3 linked regions of the Caenorhabditis elegans genome follow. Changing the gene in region 1 together with any one later gene gives a genetic interaction. Each region holds a gene or a part of one and is shown on either strand. Other genes may lie near its edges.

What was found. Genes that interact genetically often act in the same process or in processes that back each other up.
Region 2: of hda-1 (region 1) and unc-37, changing one enhances a phenotype caused by changing the other (phenotypic enhancement), as found in Caenorhabditis elegans (one study listed by BioGRID).
Region 3: of hda-1 (region 1) and cbp-1, changing one suppresses a phenotype caused by changing the other (phenotypic suppression), as found in Caenorhabditis elegans (one study listed by BioGRID).

The regions. Positions count from the first base shown.
Region 1 is NC_003283.11:14,523,600-14,530,320, reverse strand, and holds hda-1 (Histone deacetylase 1), read right to left. Parts: upstream 4,933-6,721; 5' UTR 4,914-4,932; coding exon 4,740-4,913; intron 4,694-4,739; coding exon 4,576-4,693; intron 4,531-4,575; coding exon 3,664-4,530; intron 3,571-3,663; coding exon 3,344-3,570; 3' UTR 2,910-3,343; downstream 1-2,909. Other genes in the region: ril-1 (RNAi-Induced Longevity), read left to right, coding at 6,210-6,359, 6,408-6,513, 6,673-6,721.
Region 2 is NC_003279.8:6,740,523-6,748,192, forward strand, and holds unc-37 (Transcription factor unc-37), read right to left. Parts: upstream 4,808-7,670; 5' UTR 4,803-4,807; coding exon 4,722-4,802; intron 4,670-4,721; coding exon 4,526-4,669; intron 4,274-4,525; coding exon 3,763-4,273; intron 3,676-3,762; coding exon 3,480-3,675; intron 3,427-3,479; coding exon 2,679-3,426; intron 2,161-2,678; coding exon 2,002-2,160; 3' UTR 1,785-2,001; downstream 1-1,784. Other genes in the region: dhod-1 (Dihydroorotate dehydrogenase (quinone), mitochondrial), read left to right, coding at 330-489; cytb-5.2 (Cytochrome b5 heme-binding domain-containing protein), read left to right, coding at 766-858, 910-1,242; W02D3.12 (Succinate dehydrogenase assembly factor 4, mitochondrial), read left to right, coding at 1,467-1,497, 1,546-1,784; fnci-1 (FANCI helical domain-containing protein), read right to left, coding at 5,810-5,872, 6,755-6,890, 6,987-7,078, 7,559-7,670. UniProt on the Caenorhabditis elegans protein: Transcriptional corepressor that functions with the neural specificity gene unc-4 to govern motor neuron identity. In concert with unc-4, represses the expression of VB-specific genes such as ceh-12, thereby preventing the adoption of VB motor neuron fate.
Region 3 is NC_003281.10:9,763,677-9,770,785, reverse strand, and holds the start of cbp-1 (Protein cbp-1), read right to left. Parts: upstream 4,277-7,109; 5' UTR 4,089-4,276; coding exon 4,049-4,088; intron 3,996-4,048; coding exon 3,919-3,995; intron 3,867-3,918; coding exon 3,078-3,866; intron 2,784-3,077; coding exon 2,418-2,783; intron 2,366-2,417; coding exon 2,239-2,365; intron 2,107-2,238; coding exon 1,957-2,106; intron 1,906-1,956; coding exon 1,393-1,905; intron 1,343-1,392; coding exon 1-1,342. UniProt on the Caenorhabditis elegans protein: Acetyltransferase enzyme. Acetylates histones, giving a specific tag for transcriptional activation. May prevent DNA damage-induced apoptosis by inhibiting cep-1-dependent transcription activation of the programmed cell death activator egl-1.

The DNA.
Region 1 (6,721 bases):
ATTTTGAATTTAAATATTGGGAGCTTGATTAAAAATTTCTATCTCTAACTGAACATTTCTATAAATGTGGCAGTTAATGTTTTTAAGTTATATTTTAATTTTTTTAATGAGCACAAACAAAGTGTATGTTGTGTTTATTGGAAGACACGCTCTACTGTTGAAAATAACTTTGAGACAATTTTAAAAAATAAATAATTTTTTCGGGTTCAAGTAGGTAAATATAAAAGTCCAACTACTGATATAATTTAGTTGTGGATATATAAAAATAAATCAGCTATATGAAAGGAGTATAACCAAATTTTTATATTTTTCAGGCTTTCTTTAAACTAAAAACATTACTTTTGAACTATAATGAACTAATAGTAAGTGAAATGGAAAAATTCCAAATTGAACTTTTCAGATAAATATTCTTTAAAACTTCAGGTCAGTACAGTCATTTTAGTGTATTTCTTGAAGGTTTGCGCAAATCCAAAAAGTAAATGCACGTCTTTACCTTTTTGGTTCATTCATAGCTTTACTTAATACATTTACCACATTATTGGCTGAACTTGCCTATTGTTAAATAATGGAAAGCAAGGCAAGTGTGCCATTCAAAATGACATCATTCATTCAAACCATAGAAACACTATTCATATTCAAAAAAGAGAGGAAAATAAGCGTTGGTGAAACATAACGACATGATTATTTGGAGGAGCACATGATCAATTTTCAATTTTATTCGAATTTCCGGTATCCGAGATTAAAGTGATGATTTTATTGGATTTTATCGATCGTTGTTTTACGAGGAAAATGGTAGATAACTCAACGAGAAAAAGATCATGTTCAAAAGTTTATGACTCTAAATTCAAGTGTTCCAATTAGAAATATAAGTATTTCAATAACGAGGAAGTAGACAAAGGGGGAAGTCAATAATGAAAATAATTGATTCCAGATATTCTCAACTCCATCAATGAAGGTCAACTTTTGCTCATTAACAAGGGCACTACATTTATTTCTGTTTTAAGTGGGAAATTGAATGGACGCAGATGTACATAGATATTTACTTCATTTAATTTTAGACCACAATGTGAAAGAAAACAAACGACTTACTTTCAAGATCTTTGAAATTTGAGAAGATAGCAAAATACCATAGAATAAGACTTTTTCTTGGGATATTCAAGAAATTCTGGTTAAAATATCATTCTTGTTATAGATGTGAAAACTGTCTAACTAATAGTAAGACGAGTAGTATAAAGAAATTTGGTTTATTCCAGAGCCGTGTTCAATGTTCACTAATTTTTTTAAAGAAAAAAGTCCGAAAAGCTTCAGAATTTTTCCTATGGATTAAACTATAGTTTAAAATATATATCACAACATGCCTAAAAGTCTGTAAAAAACCGTCTTGAAGTGATAATATGGTTTATTGGTAAAAAGTGTAACGGTCTTTTTTAAAACGAGATTCTCAAAACTTGGGCTTGCCAGCTCTATTTCCGTTATTACACGGATCTCACATTTCCTACATTTTGTCGACAAAAAATTGTTCTGGAAAAATTAATATGCGTTCATTTTGTAATAATACGATTTCAGTAAACTTTAAAAGCTTTGTATCTCAATTCGTCAATTTCTATCTGAAATTGTACCCGAAGAGACAAAAACCTTTTTAAATATATTTTCAGTCTTTTTATTAAACCACTTCACTTGATTTTTTAAAGAATTTCAAAGTATTTCAAATTTAGAAAAAAAATTTAACGAAAATTCTTTGAATCCATTGAAAATTATGCCAAATTGTGGCTAACAGAAAATCTCAAATAGATTCAATAATCATCTAGAAAACTTTAAATAATATTTTCTTAAATTTTATAGTAAATTCGTGAGTGTACAGAAGATTACGTACAATTTTCTCAATGGGTCTCGCCACGAACTCCGTTCTCTTGGTATTTTCAGCTGCCAAATTAAAAAAAAAGAGAATAGTACACTTCTCATGTCATCTCATTTATCTTTCGCTGTTTTCTGAAACTTAAAGGTGCACAGAATTAATCATATGGGTCTCGCTGCGAGAAAAGTTTGAAGTATAACTTTTTGATGTACATTCTAAACTGTACACTTAAACTTTTTCCTCGTGGCGAGACCCATCCGAATAAACCCTTGCGGCTTTACGTGTGACGTTGCGATTAATAAACTGAAAAAGAGATGTTCAAAAACCGGTAATCCATTTTTAAAGAGTTAAGTTCAATGGAGGACAAGACACATAAAACTAAAAAACGAATGTTCATCAACTGAAATTGAGCTTCTCCCTTCCTTCTTCTTTTATTCTTCATGCACCTCCCCTTCTGCTCAAGCTGATATCTAACCGGAAATCGGTTACGTTGCGAAATTGAATATCCTTTTTTTTCGATATTTCTGAATTTTAGACTTGAAAAATGAACGACAAACAATGAAAAGTATGAATGAGTGGAAAGAAAAAAGAAAAACAAAGAAAGAATCGAAACATGTTTTCATCTTTTTTGCATTTTCAACAACAAGAACCCAGTAAAAAGCTAATTTCTCTCTCCGTCTCTGTGTGAAAGGAGTGCTCGGAGAGCCGATTCGATTCCATTCCCAGGTGGGGCTAAAATTTGGATAAGTGGATTTTTATGATGCAATTTTTGTTGGTCTCCGTTTTGGAGCACACCATCCAACATCAGATGAAGACAGACAAGGAATACAATTGAAAATAGAAATGAGAATTTATTCTGTAATATGAGACCACATGCGTAGTCATCATAATTCGTGTTATAATTGCTCGCTTCCAGACAATAATTATGAAGCAGCTGAAACTGACGACATAAACGATGTCAACTGCAAAAACTTTAGTCTTCTTCCATTCGAATTCCAATGTGACAAATTCGATTTTTCCAATTTCCGAATTGAAGATAGACGTTGCGCCGGTTCCAATCGAGTCAATTTTATTAAATAAATAAAAACGAAGAAATTCACCAAAATACAAAAAAGTGTTCAGGATCTGACTGTGGAATTGGAATTGTGTGCCAGTAAAATGGGGAGTGTGGGACGACAAGAGAAATGGAAATCGTTGAAGGGGGTAGATTAGATGTGGATGTGAGGAGTAAGGATGTTGAGGAAGTGCAAAACGGGTAAAGGATACTGAGATAAAAAAGGATTAATGGGGAAAAGTGAAGAGATCTTCCAAATAAAAGTGCTTGAATTTGAAAAATAAATAAAACAGTTGGGATTTGGGCGGAAAATTAAATTAGATTTAAGGAAAATCAAAAAGTAATACTCATTTGACAAGGAAAAAGTGGTGTACAGTGATTGAATATTATTTTCAGAGGAGATACTGAATTCGACGGCGGCACATTTTAGTGTTTTACTCTGTCTTCTGACGCTTTTCACCACCTTCCGACTCAAACTGAGCTGCTCTCTTCGCATCGCTCTCGTTTCTTCGATCATCTCCCTCACGCTCACCATCGTAGAAGTCTCCATCGTCTTGAATCATTCCATCGGTAATTTGTGGTGGTAGTCGTTTGTCGGGATTAGCTTGGTCGGCGATCAATGAGTCATCATTCAATGCAGAGAGGGCGTCTTCTGGGATCGCTGAAAAATGGAATAATTATGAAGTGTTCAACAAACATCTAATAATTTTCTGACAGATTCTAAAAAGTGAACAAAAATTCGTTCAAAACGTACGTCTCATTTGAACACTTGGAACAAAAGTGAGCTGCTCGAGATTGGCGATGACGTCAGTTTGCAATTTAGCCAGCATATCGGAGCTATTTTCATTTGCTGCATTCGACGACTCGATGTGAAGTCGGTAGTTTGGTCCAAAGTATTCGAAGTAGTCATTGTATGGCAACTCATTTGGAACTTCCTTATCGACGGCAATCGAGGTTTCGTACGTCCAACAACGTGCCACATTTCTTGGAGTGTATCCACCTCCACCGACCATCATAAGTGGAACGTTGTAGCTTCGGAAGAAACGAGCACATTCTCCGTGGCCTTTCAAGGTCAGATTGAATGGTCCAAGTCTATCTCCGTTGAGAGAATCAGCTCCACATTGAAGAACAACAGCACAGGGATCAAATCTCTCCATAACCTTTGTCATGATTGGTTTAAAAATACTCTGGTAAGAGACGTCGGTGATTCCATCGCGAAGTGGAACATTGACTGAATAGAGCTTTCCTTTTCCAGCTCCTATATCTTTCAGGTCTCCGGTTCCTGGGAAGAAATCTCCATATTTATGGAATGACACTGTCATTACTCGATCAGTCGTATAGAACGCCTCCTCTACTCCATCTCCGTGATGAACATCAATATCGACGTAAAGTACTCGCTTGTGGTACTTGAGAAGCTCGAGAATACCGAGAACGATGTCATTGGTGTAACAGAATCCGGACGCCTCGCTTTTCTTGGCGTGATGGAGGCCTCCCATCCAATTGATAGCAATGTCCACCTTCTGCTTGTTCAATTTAGTGGCAGCAGCCAGAGAACCTCCCGAACTGAGTTGGCAGAACTCATAAAGACCATCAAAGAGAGGACAATCTTCTCCAACATTGACTGAAATGAGACAATACATTTAGTTTTAAAAAGAATATAACTTACACTTAAGCATTTGTTTGTTGAAGGATTTCAGATTATCTGGATTCGCACTCTTCAAAAACGTCATGTACTCGTCGCTGTGAAAACGAGTCATGTCTTCGAATGATGCAGGGAATGGGCGCTAAAATTAAACGTTTACAATATTTCAATGAAGAAATATTACTTACGAAAATCTCTAAATTCCGGTACAGACCATAGTTGAGAACGAGATGATGGGTCATTCTGATACGATGTGGCTTCATGACGTGCCCTTGACCATAATAGTAATTTCCAATGTTGGAGTCATAGTAGTAGGCGACACGGCGCTTACCGTGCTCCATCAACGGGCCGTTTGAGTTCATGTTTGATGGTCGCAGTAGACTGAAATAACAAGATTGCTCGAAGAAAAATAAAATGAAGAGAAGGAGAAGGTGTAAGACAGGTTATGCAGTATTGATCGAGTTTTTGGCTAATTTTTGGTAATCGATATAAACGCGACGTGAAAACGCTCATTACTATAACACATTTTGATCAATAAACTGAATTCGGCAAGATCATTGAAGCGGAAAAATATAAGAATTGAGGTTTTGTAAAAACTTTGAAGGAATATAATTTTCAAAGACATATACTTAAACAGGTGGCTGTGGTTTTTTGGAATAATTTAGAGCACTGGAAAATTTCGCCAGTGCCAAGGAATAAAAAATTCTGACAATATGATATACTGTCTTTTGGGCCTTGTCTTGAAATTATTTAAATTTTCTTGGCACAATTTCTACAGGAATCTAAACTAGCCAGCCACAATCTATTATCAAAAAATATCAATCGCACAGGCCACATGGCTTTTGATTTTTATTTCTTTTTTATTTAGGCTCCTCCCATGATTGACCTTTAGTTTAATTTTTAAATTCACTTCGGAAATAAAGTTGTGGGAGGAGCTTAAATAAAAAACAAAAGCCACGTGGCCTGTGCTATTGATATTTTTTGATAATAGCATTTTACGAAATTGAGATTAATATTTGAGAGTGAGTTCTCCAATGAATTTCCTGGCGCCATTGCTGGAAGTATTTTTATTTTGAATCGAAAAATGTTTAAAAAATATTATTCAGTGCCTACAAATCGATATTTTCTTCCTTGAACGGTGGGTCTATTAGACAGGTGCAGCTCAGTGAAAATAACTATTCGAAACACTTCAAGCGTCGTCTTTTTATTATATTTTGAACAAATATAGATATAATTCTAGTAGAAAACAATAAGAAAAACAGAAAAGTGAGAGAAAAACGAGGTGAACGGTGAAACAGTTTTGAACGAGAACAGGAGGCAGACAAAAAACGCAGCGTCGTAAGTGTGTGCGGCGTGTTTGCACACAACCGCGAGCACGCACAATCTTGCAAAAAGGGGCGGGACGAAAACCGCCGTCAGTTTTTGGCTTCCCAATTTTTTATTTTTAAGCTAAAAATTGCTCTTTTTGAGTTTTTTTTCGATGTAAAATATTGATAAATATAAGTTATTTTGTTTATTTCTTGCAATTCACGTTCAATTTTTCCCCACGCTCTCACGATGTTGAATTATGTCAATTATCTTTTTTTTTAGCTTAAAAATATCAATATTCAAATAAAGCTTAACTACATAATCATTTTTAGTTTTGTAGGTAATCAACTATGGTCGTAGGAAAGCTCTTTGAGGCAGCAAAGTGGACTGCCGAGACAGTCAAAGGAGCCGCCGTCGTCGTTGCTTCTCCAAATGCTCCAATCCCGGCCACAGACCTTCATCCACGCATGCCAGCCCGGCCATGGACCGCTCAAGAATACGTAAGATTTCCCGGAAAGTATGAAGAAAATAAATAATGACAATTTCAGTTGAGAATGTGGTCCTGGCGCCATTGCTGGAAGTACCTCCCAATCTTCCGTTTCTACATTTACTCAGGAGTCATTCTCTACGGAGTCTACAAATTCGCCCTGCCAAGTGAGTTGATGATTTACTTAAAAAAAATAGTATATTTCCTGATTTTAGTCTGGCAACTTCGTCTGGCACGATGTTGCATTAAAAATTTTTGTAGTTTATTTTAAGTTTTCCTGAAAATAAATTGACGAATTCAACTGATTTTTATTTTAATTATTGCAGTCAAGCCACGCCACATGGTTCAATACTCCAAAGGAAAGGAAGACCATCA
Region 2 (7,670 bases), on another chromosome or scaffold:
AGTGAAAAATCGGTTTTCCCCTATTTTTCTTTGGAAATCGACGATCAAAAAAATGTTATTCTCCAGTTTTATGTTCTAATTATGTAAAATATGCATATTTCAACATTTTAAAGGTTTAAACATGATACAGTGATATAGATTTTTCGAAAAGTAAAAACACAGTTTTCAACGCCTTTTGACTCAAAATAAAAATTGAATTATAATATTTGACCATTTGAGTACAATATATGGTAAGAATGGTTTTATTGATTTTCCCACAGGCCGTATAGTCCACCGTTATTCAATCAAAGTATTAATTTCAATTTATTTAACTAAATGTAAAATTTCAGAGCCGGTGCTAGTCTGGTCCAACTCTATTCCGCGTTCGTCTATGAAGGATTTCCGGTAATCGGAAAAATCAAACGAGAACTTGTCGAACTTTTACGGAAAGATGGATTTTCGCATGTTTCGGAAGCAATTGGAGCTGATCACAGAGAAAAAACGAAATAATTATATTCCCAAGATTTTTGTTATTTTTTCAGGTTGACTTCATTTTCATGGGTGTTTCAAAATTGTTTTATAATTGAATTATTTTCTTCCGATGTTCAATGTGCCTTTTCATGAGATTGTAGGGTAATTCTTAGTATTTTCTGCATAAATTATTTGATTTCCTTATGTTTTTTTTTTCAATTTATACTAAAGTTTCTGGTTTTCAACCGAAATATATCACTTTTGAATAATTTTCAACGACTTAGAGACCATTTTTTGTTTCAGGGTTCATCAATTATGTCGGAGCTACGTGTCATTTCTCTCGATGAGGTCTCAAAGCACAACTGGGAAGATGCTGATCAATCGTGTTGGATTGTCATCTCCGGAAAGGTAATTTTTTTTTCATTTTTTAAATTTAAATATCGAAATCATTCCTTACAGGTCTACGATGTGACAAAGTTCTTGAATGAGCATCCAGGAGGTGAAGAAGTCATCACTCAATTAGCCGGTAAAGATGCTACAGTTGGATTCCTCGATGTTGGGCACTCAAAAGATGCTATTGAAATGGCCAATGAATATCTCATTGGTCAATTGCCAGAATCAGACGTTCCAAAAGTCGAGACAGCGGCTGCGAAACCTTCGAAAAACGAAAAATCATCATCTCTCCTCAATGATTTCACCGAAATTATGACTTCACCAACATGGACCAACTTCCTGATTCCAACTACAATGGGACTTGTCATTTATGCCGTGTACAAGTGCATGTTCAATTAAATTACCTTAGCTCTTATCCTATTCTTTTGATCTTATGCGCCCACTTTCTTGAAATGCATCAAAGAACATTTGTTTCTATGGACTTTTATATATGTGATAAAGATTTGTTGTCAATATTTTCATATGTTACTGAAGGAAAAATGGGTGGAGCCTTGGAGATATCGATGTAACTTTAGTCGCAAGATTAGTCCTATTGAAACAATTAAAAAAAATATTCAGATCAAATGCTTCGTCAGATTCTTCGTCCAATTTTGAGTATGGATTTTACACAAAAAACAATTTTCTAATTTCTTGACGATTCAGATTCTTCCCGCCGATTCGCAGATATAAAACCAAAACAAAGTGCGAAGGAGAAGGTGATGGCTGAGAAGACACCGAAAGGAGCACTTGATAAAGCAGACGAACAACAATATGAAGATCCTCACCTCAAGAAACATCCGGGAGGTGTGAATAAGTCAACTGGAGAAGTTGGTGGACCAGCTGGACCAGAGCCAACTCGATATGGTGATTGGGAGAGGAAGGGAAGAGTTTCAGATTTTTGAAATGTTTTATTAATTGCTGTTAAAGTCAAGTCAGATCATCATTGTTTTGTAGTGCAAATAAATAAATGTTTTAAACATAGAGTGACATTAATCGTAATAGGGTACACAAATACGAAAATTTGACAAACGAAATTAGAAGAGATGAGAGAGATGAAACGATTATCGTACAGAATAGGGGTTTTGAGTATCATGATCATAAATTCACTGCGGAAAAAAATTAATATTCAACTGCATAGAGAGTTGCCTTCTTCTCCCCTGATCCAGTGACAATGAGTGAGTCGTCGAATGAGATGTCACATGAGAGAACGGAGCTGTTCTCTTTTAGTTGAAAGAGTGATGCTCCGTATGGAGTACGCCAGGCGTTGAGAGCATTGTCCTGAAAAATTGAGATTATGAGGTTTCAATTAGAAAAATTGAGCCAATTACCGTATTTCTTCTATTAATATGGCTGCAATACTATTTTTCGATGGTCTTCCCGCTTGCAAGACTAATAGGGAGTGCAAGAATATTAGGGAGTGCAATACTAATTTTCAGAATATTTTTCTGACTTTGAGCTTACTAGTTTTTTTCTGAAAAAGCTCGAATCTTATGTAAAAATACAAAAAATTTTGATTTTAATTGTAACCTATAAGTTCAAAAACTTCAATTTCGTATAAATTTTGTGAAAAATTGTTGCACAATAGGCAAAAAATATTGTTGAAATCCTGAAATTAGCGAGATGGGTTTGCAATAAAAAAAAAGTAAACGCAAGACTATTAGAGAGTGCAATAGGGAGTGCCATACTAATTTTTGGAAGGTCTCCGAGGGGCAATACTAATAGGGAGTGCAAGTCTAATAGGGAGGCCATACTAATAGAAGAAATACGGTAAATGACAAAGTATAATCAAAACATACCTTTCCAGTTGAAATGAAGAACTTTCCGGAATGCGCAAATTTGAGCGAAAGGACGCATGATTCGTGTTGTGTCAATTGATACTTTTCTTTTCCAGTTGTTGACAGAACCTCGACATAATTATTCTCCATACCAACAGCCACCCATTCATCATTTGGACAACATCCAAGAGAGAAAACTTGGCTCGCAAAATCATGCTTCGCAACTTCCTTTCGTTGTGCAAGATCCCAGCATCTAACAGAATTGTCAAGACCACCTGACCAGAGCTTTGTACCATCTTTTGAGAGATCGAGACATGATGCTCCATCTTGATGTCCAGGTAGGGTTCCAACTTTCACCTTATTATGGATATCATAAATGAGGATATTTCCATCAGCAAGACATGCGAACAATAATTTCTCATCTGGTGACATCGCCAACGCGTAGCATGCTTGTGAATCAGTTTCCAAGTCCAAAGTTTTTGTTTCAGTTGTAAGATCCCAAAGAGCAACAGTACTGGCTTCTCCTCCAATCAGAAGTGTATTTCCATCTTCAAAGAGTTTACAAGATCTAATATAGTTCTCTTTGAGACAATCCAAGGATGCAATTGGAGGCCGATTCACAACCGTTGCGCCAGAAATATCTGATTCTTTGACATCCCAGATCTTAACACATCCTTTTCCACCAGTATAAACACGACTGTTATCACGGGAAATTGTGGCCGCACAAACTACTTCTCCGTGATTTAATTCCATTTTCTTCTTGAGACCTCTGCAATTTTTTTTTTCAAATTTGAATCAAAGCCAATTATTATATTTTCTTACGTCGGAATTCCGGGACCTTTCTGTGCATCTGGAGGGAAGGATGTAGGTGTTGGAACTCCACCGTCCACAATTTTGAATGAATAGGCCGGTCTGCTACCGATTTGCCCGATGGCAGCTGCAAGACGGGCCTGTGCATGGGGATCATTCAAAAAGTTGAATCCTCCAGCAGCACTAGCTTGTCGGAGAAGATTTGGATCTGAAAATTGAAATATTTTGGCATTGCCTGAAGTTTTGGTATTTGCTCCCTCCACTTAGCACACTTCAAAAGATTGTAAACACGTACTGAATCCAGCTAAAAAGTTCATTTGCTCCAATCCTTGAAGCCCAGCGAGTGGCTGCTGTTGTTGTCTTGCTCTAGAATTTGATGCGATGCTCGGTGTAGATGCTCCCGATGAGGCAACACTATTTGTGCTATCTCTTCCATTTTTATTAGCTGCGCCTCCATTTGATGCAGTACTTGGATGATCATCATTTGTGACATCAATCTCAAGTTCTCCATCATCTGGATCTTCCAGCTTGGCCTTTTTCGCTTCACTTGCACCTCCAGAACTTCCACCGGCTCCATCTCCACCGTTGACATGTGGTGATGCGAATTGATTGAATAGTTGACTCATTGCAGGGCTCATTCCGAATGGCATATTTGGCATCATTCCAAGCATTCCAGCTGCACCGGGAGGAAAACCTGGTGGAAGTGCTGGTGCTCCATTTCCATTTTCACGTGGTGATGCGGTTTTGAAAGCTTCCAGTGCGGCGAGGCAGTTTGCTTGATTATCTTGAGATAGTTGAGGAGCCAACTGAAAAATATACATTTATAATATTACCTAAAATTGATTATTATGAATTAAAAATATTACATAATAATTTTTCTTCTATTTATAAATGAATATATGGAAAGAGGAGCATGTTTGAGTTGAACAAGGTACAATCCAATAGATATTATAACGTTTCCATAATATTTAGTTCAAATATTTCAACAAAAAAATTGTAATAGCTTTTTCTATATTTTTGTTCGATTTTTTAATAACATTATTGACGAGTTAATTTACCGATTGCATGATGAATTCCTGAAGGCGTTTGTTGATTTCTTCTGCTTTTCGAAGATCGCTACGAAGAGTATTTGATACTTCAGCGTACGTCATATACGATCTATTCATATTTTCTTTCTCTAACGCAACCTTTTCGATATCCGACTGCAAAATTGTTTTCAATATACTAAAATTTCTCTTACAAAATTAAGCTTACTCGTTGCTGGTTGACATGCTTCGACATTTCCGCATGCTCGTCTTTGATTCGATCGAGGGTTTCCAGATACGATGCCTTCATTTTTACTGAAAATTAAATACAATCAAGTGGATAGTGAATTATTAACATAAAAATTATGAGAGGAGTTTTAAAAATTCGATCAAAAAAATGCAAGGAAGAACAGACTAGTGATGGATTGGGAGAAGACAACAAAACTCAAGAAATAGCACGTGGTTTGAATAGACGTTGACAACGAGACGAAGAAACAAAGAAAGAGGACATGGGTTTCCAGTGGTGTAGACGGAGAGAATCATACATTAATTGCAAAACGACTGGTCATATAGCCCCACTAACGTTGAAGAATGAAGGAGGTATTGGTGTCGAGGAGGACGAACGCGCGGCGATGAATGCGACGCTGAATGGGTGACCGAATGGGGGGAGGAGTTGTCGATAGAGCACATTTGTTTTGAGCTCTTTTGAGCCCGAGTGTAGAAGATGAATGTATCCAATAAGTTTGATATTCAAGTAACACGAGGATCCGAGGATTTCTAACTAATATTTCGAATCAAACACGATGAAGCTGCAACTTACTATAGAGAGAAGCATTTATAAATATTTTACATGTACATAATCACAATTCCAGTATAAAAAACTCACAAAATTATCTAAAAAAACGGAAAAGGTTGAAATATTGAATAAAGAGACATAAACCTGTCTTGAAGAAAATATTTTTAAAAAATCATGTTTAACAAATAATAAGTTTATTGACATGGTATGTTCTTAAATAATTTGAGATTGAAAATCGGTAAGAAAATGAGATGAGAATCAAATGATAATAGTGAAAATTGAGATTCAAATGGAAAGAATAAAAACTCTTGAATGATTCTATTAGATTAAACAACAAGACGGTATACTGTAGCAGTCATGAAAATTTAAAAAAAAACCAAAACATGAATGAAGCTCCATTTTGTCATTTGTAACTAATTAGAAGCATTCCGGAGTGTTGAAGAATATATTACACATATAAAAACTCGAGAGTTTAAACTCATTAGGAAATCAAATATAATTGTCGTTTCATTGCTAACTGATCAGAAGACTGGACTCGTGCCTCTGGAGACACTTTCTTCTTCGTCATCAACCTCCTGCTTCACCTAAAAATACATTTTTAGATTAAGAGTGCAAGTCGTCTCGTGAAAAATATATTCTTGAACACGACACTTGATTTAAGGGCAGCGTAAATTTATATAAGGATTAAGGTAAATGAAGCTATCAACAACTAACAAGGTTATGCCCTTTGATCAATCATTTCATTTCAGTAATTGACACATTCATTTCCCACAATGTTAGATTTTATCGAAAAAGGAGGGATGTGATGGGTGGTTATAAACATTCAAAGATTCGAGAAGGCGATAATTGGTTGGATGTGTGTAACAGATGGTGGTGAGACGATGGTGTACACATTTGTTTGCACTTTATGTCATCATTATGACAACGAATACAATGAAAGTCAGATTTATGTTCCAGAAATAGAAAATTCCCATATAAGGGTCACCTTGGGTCAAATTGATGTCGGTTGATGGAAAAGGGATGTTTAATGGGTGAATGAGAATAATAAAATGTATGTGGTCGAGGCATTTGGAACTACATACATTTTATGTCTGGGATGCCGCTGTTTTAGATCATTTCACAAATTGAAATGAACATTTGACACAAATGTGGTCCTATTAATCAGCGCATTGAAACAGTTTCGCACCGAATATCCACAATTTATATTGAAAAATAATGATTTCTTTTTTATTCAAAACATCATAGGAATTGTTGAAACAGTAAACTATTTTTGGATTTTAACATTTGTAAGATTTTTGAAAGATATGGAGACTTACTTTAATTTTTTCGAAATTTTAATTGCCGAATTGTTTTTTGAAACTTTATTTTTTAGAGTTAAAGTTTTTGTCCAAATAAAATATTTTTCGGCCTTAGAATTAATCAGCTCAAGTAGTGGTTACACAACTCATAAAATCTCGTACACATACCACTCCAACAGTGTTCTCTTGATCTCTTGGCTCTTCGGGTTCTTCGGAGCTTCTTCTTGCAGATGTTGTACTCTCTTCAGTTTCTTCTATTTCTTCATCTTCCATACTTGGGTCCCTACGGCCTCGTTTGGTGGCTCTGAAAGCATCTCGTTACTTGAAAATTATTTAAAGAAACAAAAGAGGATTCAATAATAAACTGGAGAAACAATACTTTTTGAAATTTAAAACGTACGGTTCACAAACTTCTTCATTAGCTTGCCCGCTCAATTTGTTGCGAAGAACTTCCATATCGATTCGGAAGTCACGATATCCAATTGAATTGTTCTTTAAAAATATTTTTGAAAATGTCTAAAAAAAAGATTTTCAAATATATAATTTTGTAGCTTGAAGGTCACAGCCAAGGCTGCATTTTTCGCTTTATTCTGTGTTTCTGGCGAAAAATCTATTTTTTGTGCTTTTACCGGATAAAATTGATATAAAAAAACGAAAAAAAGCGACATTTTTAATTATCTTTTCACTACCCGAAAATGTATGCATTTTGAAATTTTACGCTTTTTGTCAAAAAACGACACTCGAAAATGTCTATAGGTTCAAAATTTTCGTGAAAACGCCTCAGACTAGTTTCGAAAGTAATAACTGTTGTTTTTGTCTTTTTTTTGGGTTTTGGCGAAATTTTATTCCGTTTATGTTTTAGAAAAAAAATCAATTTTTCGTCCACAGCCCTAATGACAGCTACAAAAGGAATAAATAAGTTTCTTACGAAATAAATTACAATTTAAACTCCCAATTGATATATCTACGTACCTTGATCTGAAGATCAAATCGATCATCTTTAATGAGCTTACAAAGAACAAGAATTCCATGTTGAACAGCTTCTCTTTCGTGTGAAAACTTTGAAAATAGTTTTTCGTCTCGT
Region 3 (7,109 bases), on another chromosome or scaffold:
ATGAAACCGTTGACACGATCTTCGAGGAATGTAGACAGCTTATTATGTGGCAATTTGCTAGCAAGATACTTGTTATCTGGCTTTTGATATTTCTTAGCAGTCCGGCAACATTCGCATATAAATCCTTCTGGATAAACTTTCTTATCATGAAGTGCACATATCCGATGCCATTTCCTCATACAATATTTACATCTCTCGAAAGGCTCATAATCAATAACACTGTTCTTCTGTTCCGTAAACGATGTTTTCGGTGCCATGTTGTTTCGATCGTTGGGATTTTCGGAAAGTGATATTCCTTCAGGAGGAAGAGCATCGAAACATTTCTGACAATAAGTATATCTCTCCGTAACTGTCACATTGTACTGCGTAGAACTTTGTTCGAATACCCAGTATTGCTGTTCTCTGGCTATCGTGCACATTGCTGCACCGTAACAGAACAATGAAAGAGGTGTGAATGCAAGTTTCTTGGCACAACAGTATCCCATACTCTTCATCACTGGATCCATTTCACTCACAAACATTTCCGACAGCTTAAGACCGTATTTGTATACTTTACTGTTCTTTCTGTTATACAGCCAAGCATTGTCAAGCATCAGCCAAATGTCATCACAGAATTGACCAGCGTTTTGATACTGACCCGCATACAATTTCTTGTGAACGGTTTCCAAATCCATTGGGCGCTTGATGATCTCGTGATAATCGGGAATATTTAAAAGTTTTGCATCGACTGGAACTCGGAATGGTGCAGCGTCTTCGGATTTATCTAGCTTCTCCCATACAGGAAGCAAGAATTTTATAAGATCCTCTTGACTGAACACTGTATCTTCAGTTGGTGGCGGGGTAGGTTCTCGCTTTGCTTGTTGCTCTTTAGGTTTCGATTCAGCTACACCATCCTTAGTATCCTTAACTGATGGAGGAGCTTGATTTGAAGACTCTTCAGGATCTTCTTCCTTCTTAACAATTCCGTTCATAATTGGAGCTGGCGTTGATGAGCTCGAGCCACCGAATCCAATAGCCGTTGGTGGTCTTGAACTTAACGAATCTGTATTCTGATCGTCCATGGGTTCAGTTTTCGGTTGCAGCATAGCACTGACAGTAGATGAAGCTCCGATGTTTGGAGTGCTGTTACCACTTGACGGGAATGTCGAAGAATTATTGACCTGTGGAACTTGTCCATTCGGAGGAATCTGCTGATGCATGTTGGAATTCGGAGCACCTCCCCATGGTTGATTTTGTTGACTTGGTGCAACTGCCATACTACTTCCTTCAGAATGAACATCACTACGTCCACCTTCCACACCAAGCATCTGAGCGAGCTCGTTCGACGGTGGAATTGCGTATTCTGAAATGAAAATTGGTTAAAGGGTGAAATTTTAAAAAAAAAAAACTTACGATCATGTGCAGCAGCTCCTTGATTGAGTCTTGAATTCTTTTTCTCTTGAAGCTCTTTTTGTATCTTGTAAATTTTCTCAGCCAACAAATGATAATACTCTTCTCTGTCATTTGCAGATTCAAACATCTCTTTTTCGACTTTTCTGGCATAGGCTATCAAATCTTTTAACCGATTATCATTCATCGCTTCCTGATTCGGTTCCGGGAAAATCGCTTTAACCAATTTTCCGACAAGGTGATTTCTGAGATCTTTTGTGACTTGATGATGCCATTCTTTCGTACAATCTGGCATATCTGGTGGTGGCAAGTTTGGAATTTCTCCATTTCCACCAGGTGGTCTCGGTCCTCCACGATTTGGTCCGTTTTGGAATGGATTGCCATTGAATCCTTCGAATAGAGAATTTGTAATATTTCCAGTTCGCATCGCTGGCGATCCAAACTGATGAAGTCCATCACCTTCTGCGCTTCCGTTCGAATTCCCGTTGACTCCTATTAGATTTGCAAGATCGGGCACTGAAAATAATCAAATATTTAAAAAATGTTCTTGAGTAGGATAGAACGTACATGAAAATTGTAATGGAGTATCTTGTATCCTTTTGAGTGGTTTGCAGACAGGACAATCTTCCCTTGAGCAGTTTTTCCAGTGAGCTATTATTTGGCGAGACGATGCACAATGAGCGACTGAACATTTTTTTGTAGTTTGTGTGGTATCGGCTGAAAGAGATTTCAAACAGTGGCTAGAGTGAAGCGAAATTTTGGGTGGGAATAGGCGCTTCTTCTTGCGAAAATGTTCGAAACTCTTTCCAGATAGAGAAAAAGAAGCGACACGACGGGTAATATACTTACAATGACATAAACGACCAACATTGCAGCTTGTCATGTGTGTCAATACTTCTTTCATCGTTGAGCAATGGGGTAATGTACAGGCAGCATGTGGAGGTGGTTGATTCTTCGCAGCGAAATCACGATTTTCCTGTAAAAGCTGATGATGTATGAAGGAAACCAGAACATACTGTATAACATACCTTCTCACGTTGAGAACATTTGTGTGCATGAAGTAATAGAACAAGTTGTTGCTGAATAAGCTTCCGCTTCTCGGGATCTTGATGCGTTGCAAGCATGCTTGATCCAGGAGTTGTCGCCCTTCCAGCACCATTTCGTTGAGCTGCCGCCGCAGCTTCTTGCTCTCGTTGTTGCTGCTGTTGTTGTTGTGCAGCCGCCTGAGCTTGAGCTTGTGCAGCAGCTTGCTGTTGAGCAGCGTGTTGTGCTGCAGCAGCTTGTGGTCCAGGTTGACCATTTGGAGGACCGTGTGACATTCCTGGATGCCCATTGCTCATCATCATCATTTGATTCGGGCCTCGAATCGGTTGACCATTACTGTCCATCATCATCTGAAATGTAGAAGATTATTGTTATGATTCCAAGCAACTTCCAACCAATATTTGTGGAAGATTAGGGAATTATTGGAAACTTAAGTTTCAATTACACATCGATTTTGATTTGGCCAAATTCACGTCAAGCTAATAAGTGTTCCATTTTTGTTTGATCTTCAAAAATTGTCAGAATCGCACAGTTAAGATCATGCTGATCTTACCAATTTTCTAGGTTAAAAACAAAAAAAATTCCCGCATTTTTTAAAGATCAAACCAAAATGAAATAGAAATCAGGAAATAGTTTCTACTTACCCCTTGATGCATCATTGGATATCCACCGGGACGACCATATTGTTGCATAAATTCTGGTCGCTGCTGACCATATTGTCCGTGTTGCATAAACTGCCGATCAGTCATCATTGGCTGCATCATTGCTTGTTGGTTTGGAGGTATTCCAGGTCTTCCTTGTGTCGGCATTGGTCCACTTCTTGGCATTGCTCCATTCATCATAGCACCACGTCCCATGGGTTGTCCAGGAGTTGGTCCGCCCCGACTAACTCCTGGATATCCTTGAGGCATTCCCTGGGCTCCTGGTGGAGGACCACCTTGTGCGTACGGATATCGATGCATCATTCCTGGGAATTGTTGTCCTTGTGCACCCATCATCATTTGCTGTTGCTGATCTCCTTGGAACATTCCTGGTTGGCCTGGTCGCATTTGTGGTTGGCCTGGGCCTGGTGGTTGTGGACCTCCAGGACTGGGCCCCGGCACTCGACCCATAGATGGAGGTGACATCATATTCGGTGTACCATTTGGCATCATTGGACTCCTATTAAATGCATTTTGCTGTCCAGGCGGATATGCCTGCGGCCGAGGTGAATTGTTCGACGTTTGTGATGGATTCATTAGAAGTTCTTGAAGCACTGATCCATTGACACCTCCTCCCATATTCTGTGGCGGCTGCTGAGGTTGCGACTGTCCTGGTTGTAGATTGAACCCGCCATTGTTTGATGGTGCTGGTTGTGGAGTGCCTTGTGGATGAGGTGTCGAGCCAGAAGGACCACCGGATCCTCCAGCTGATGTGCTTGGATTATTGTCTACCTGAACAACAATTTTTATAAAACAGAGTGTTAATTCAAACAAAAAAACTTACATCTGTATCTTTACTAGAAGTTGGGAATGCTTCGAGACTTTCGAGAGCACTTAGCGCATCTAACCCAGAATCATAGTCTGAAAAGTTTAAAGGATCATACCGTAGCATCTTAACTTTCCTAGCAACTTACCGCTATCAGCGCGAGATTTTTTTGATGGTGGTTCATCCATCAATTAGTAGAAAAATGTATATATTTGACAAAATTCGAACCAAGTGAACTCTTTCTACTTCTCGGAACACCTGAATTGGTTGCGTCCGTCGGTTTTTGAATTCCCACGTCAACCACTACTTCATCAGAGTTCCCGCTTATTTGGGTTAGTTTGGCAAAATCACCAGATATAGCTGTTTGTTTCTGAAAAAAATGAAATGGATATATGGATTTTTGTCGGTGAACGGAGGAGGGAGGAGGAAGAGTGAGAAGAACATCGGTGAAGTAATGAGTGGAGGGTGGTTAGAGAGCGAGAGCACTTATGAAAAGAGGAGGCGAATTGAAGAGAGACAGACAGTGAGAGAGAAGGAGATGGAAAATCAATAGAATGAACGGAGGATGGTTGCACTTTTTAAAGTTTACCTGCACCATTGTATAAGTTGTTTAAGCGTGTAATAATAGAGAAGGAGCGTTTAAATGCTAAAATTGAATTAATAACATCAAATTCCAATGAATGGGTTACTGTAGCTATCATAAATTTAGAGCTTAAAATTGGATTCATAGCCAATTTTGCAAAACTTCGAAAACAAATTTTAATTAGAAACACTATAGTAATATACGGATTAACAAAAAAAAGTTGTTATGCAGTCTTGAGAGATATTTTTAAAAAATACTATGCATAATGAAGAAGGCGGGCATCTATATTGTGAAATTCGGGTATTTTTAAGCATTAAAGGTGTTTGGGACCATTAAAAACATGAATGCTCTAGATACTTACAGGTATATCTAGCTCGATCGATATTTGCTAAGCCAACCTTATGAGGCTAACTTCTCTTTCTCAGATGATCCCGTCGATTCACATGGTACTACTGACCCGATTCTGAACTGTATTTTGACTTAAAAAGTTGCAAAACATTTTCCACGTGACACGTTCAAAAGTTCATGATCGTGAAGAAGCGCAGAACACCGTTCGTCAAAATAACATGGTCAGTGGGAGAGACGACAGACAGCACGAGTCAGCCACCCACGAAGTAGTGTGTATCGGGAGAGAACGCCGACAGCGGGTGCCCCATGCTGTGGGTGTCTCGCAACGAAAACCGCGTTTCGCGAGATACGGTAGAACATTAACCGCACGCGACACGCACGCACACGAAGGAATATGCCATTTGGACAGGCTCCGTTTACAAGCATCTAATGGATCGAGATGAAAGTTTTGATTATAATTTTTGGTGTGATATTGAAGAAAATAACATTATTAACAAAGTTTGAAAGATGAGAGAACGAGAGCGAAACAGATAGATGAATGATGAGGTTGCAAAGATAAAAGTTAAATTTAATAATGAATTTGAGCTACTAGGAGCAAAATACATAGAAAATCGTAGAGCAATAGTATTTAGTAGTTGAATACTGTATATTATCACTTCGTGTAATGCCAGAGTAAGAGCCAGACTTGAAGCTCTGAAAAATCGATAACCACGATTGAGCACTTAATGGTTCAGTTTGTGAGCTCGCATTGAACTCTCATGAGCCGGCAGTGGCTTGAATAGATAGAGAATAATCGAAAGTGTAATGTTCTAAAAGGAAATTATCAAATACCACCGGAGAAGCAAAAAAACTGAGGAGGACGGAAGAGCGGCAGTTCAAAAAGTGCGAGAGGCGGGGCAATAGCCCTCCTCGTCCGACTGTCGATATCACCAAGAGAGGCGGAGCGACAGGGTGGCGGAGGGTGGTAGACTGGCAGTAGTTCTCAGTCATCCCAATAGACTTCTGAAGTTGACGACGATGAAGACTGAGATTCCGGACGACGACGCCGTGCTGCTGTCCTCAAGATTGTAATAGTGTGGCCGAGATGGGGCGGGGCCTCCGTTTCACACTCTATGCGCCCCTCTACTGCTCAGCGCTGGGCGTTCCGTCCGTTTCTCTACGCTCTCGTTTCCTTATCTTTCGGTATCGAAGGTGCAATTAAGGATCCGAATATACAGTAATTCATGATTCTTACGATAATGCGCATGATTGAACTGTTCTTAAACATAAAGTGTGGGAATAGCTAGACGTGTTGAGTATATTATATGTGAATGAATACGAATATTTCTAGAATAGAAAAATCTACAATCGGTCATGTTCGTTGGAAGCAGAATTCCAACAGGGTCCTAAACTGAAAACCAAAAATGATATGAATAAACATAGTATCTAGTTAGAAGGAAACATTGATTACTGTACCGGTAACTTACAAAAGACATAGCAGCAGAGTAGCTTTTTGAACTAGAAAAAATATCGATCTGAAAGTATTTCAGACTACTGTTCAGCTAAATACTTTATTGAAAATTTTCTGTAGAGAAGTTTTATCCAGCTCATTTTTTAAGAAAAAAAATCTAAAATTATTCTCGATTTTATGTGAAAATTTTCAGCGTTCTTACAAAAAAGCTTCCATTGTGTTTTCCTACCACTTAAACCACCAAAAGTTTGCAAAATTAGCATTTGAGCAATTTCACGGGTCAGCCGGACACCGAAAAGCAGTGAAAAATTCAAGTCAAAATTTAAAATCGGTTTTTTAGATCAAAGTGTTCCTCTGTTGCTAAATTTTTTGTAGTGGCCTATGAAAGTCAAGTTGAAATACTTTTCATGTAAGCAAATACTACTGGAAGGTTAAATGTAAGCAATTTTAATACATATATGAGGAATTTTAATGCAATCTTTGATGATTTCTCAATCAAAAAAGAAGGTGTTTGAATGACCTTAGATGAAGCTCAACACTGAATATTAGGACGTATTTCTGAAAATTTCTAAATACCTATCCGAGATCGAGAATCTAGATGATGGATTAGGGTCTACTACAACTATACAGGCAGAAATGACAATTTTATTATATTATGGTACTGAAATATTTATTCAGTCGACTTTACCAGCTTGCAGAAAATTCAACTTTTGTAATATCAACAGGGAAAATATGAAATGTTTAAGTTTAATCAAAATGAAAACTACAAGGAATTGGAAATTCTGGAATATGCACTCGAGCCTACCATTCAAAACGCGATCGACGATT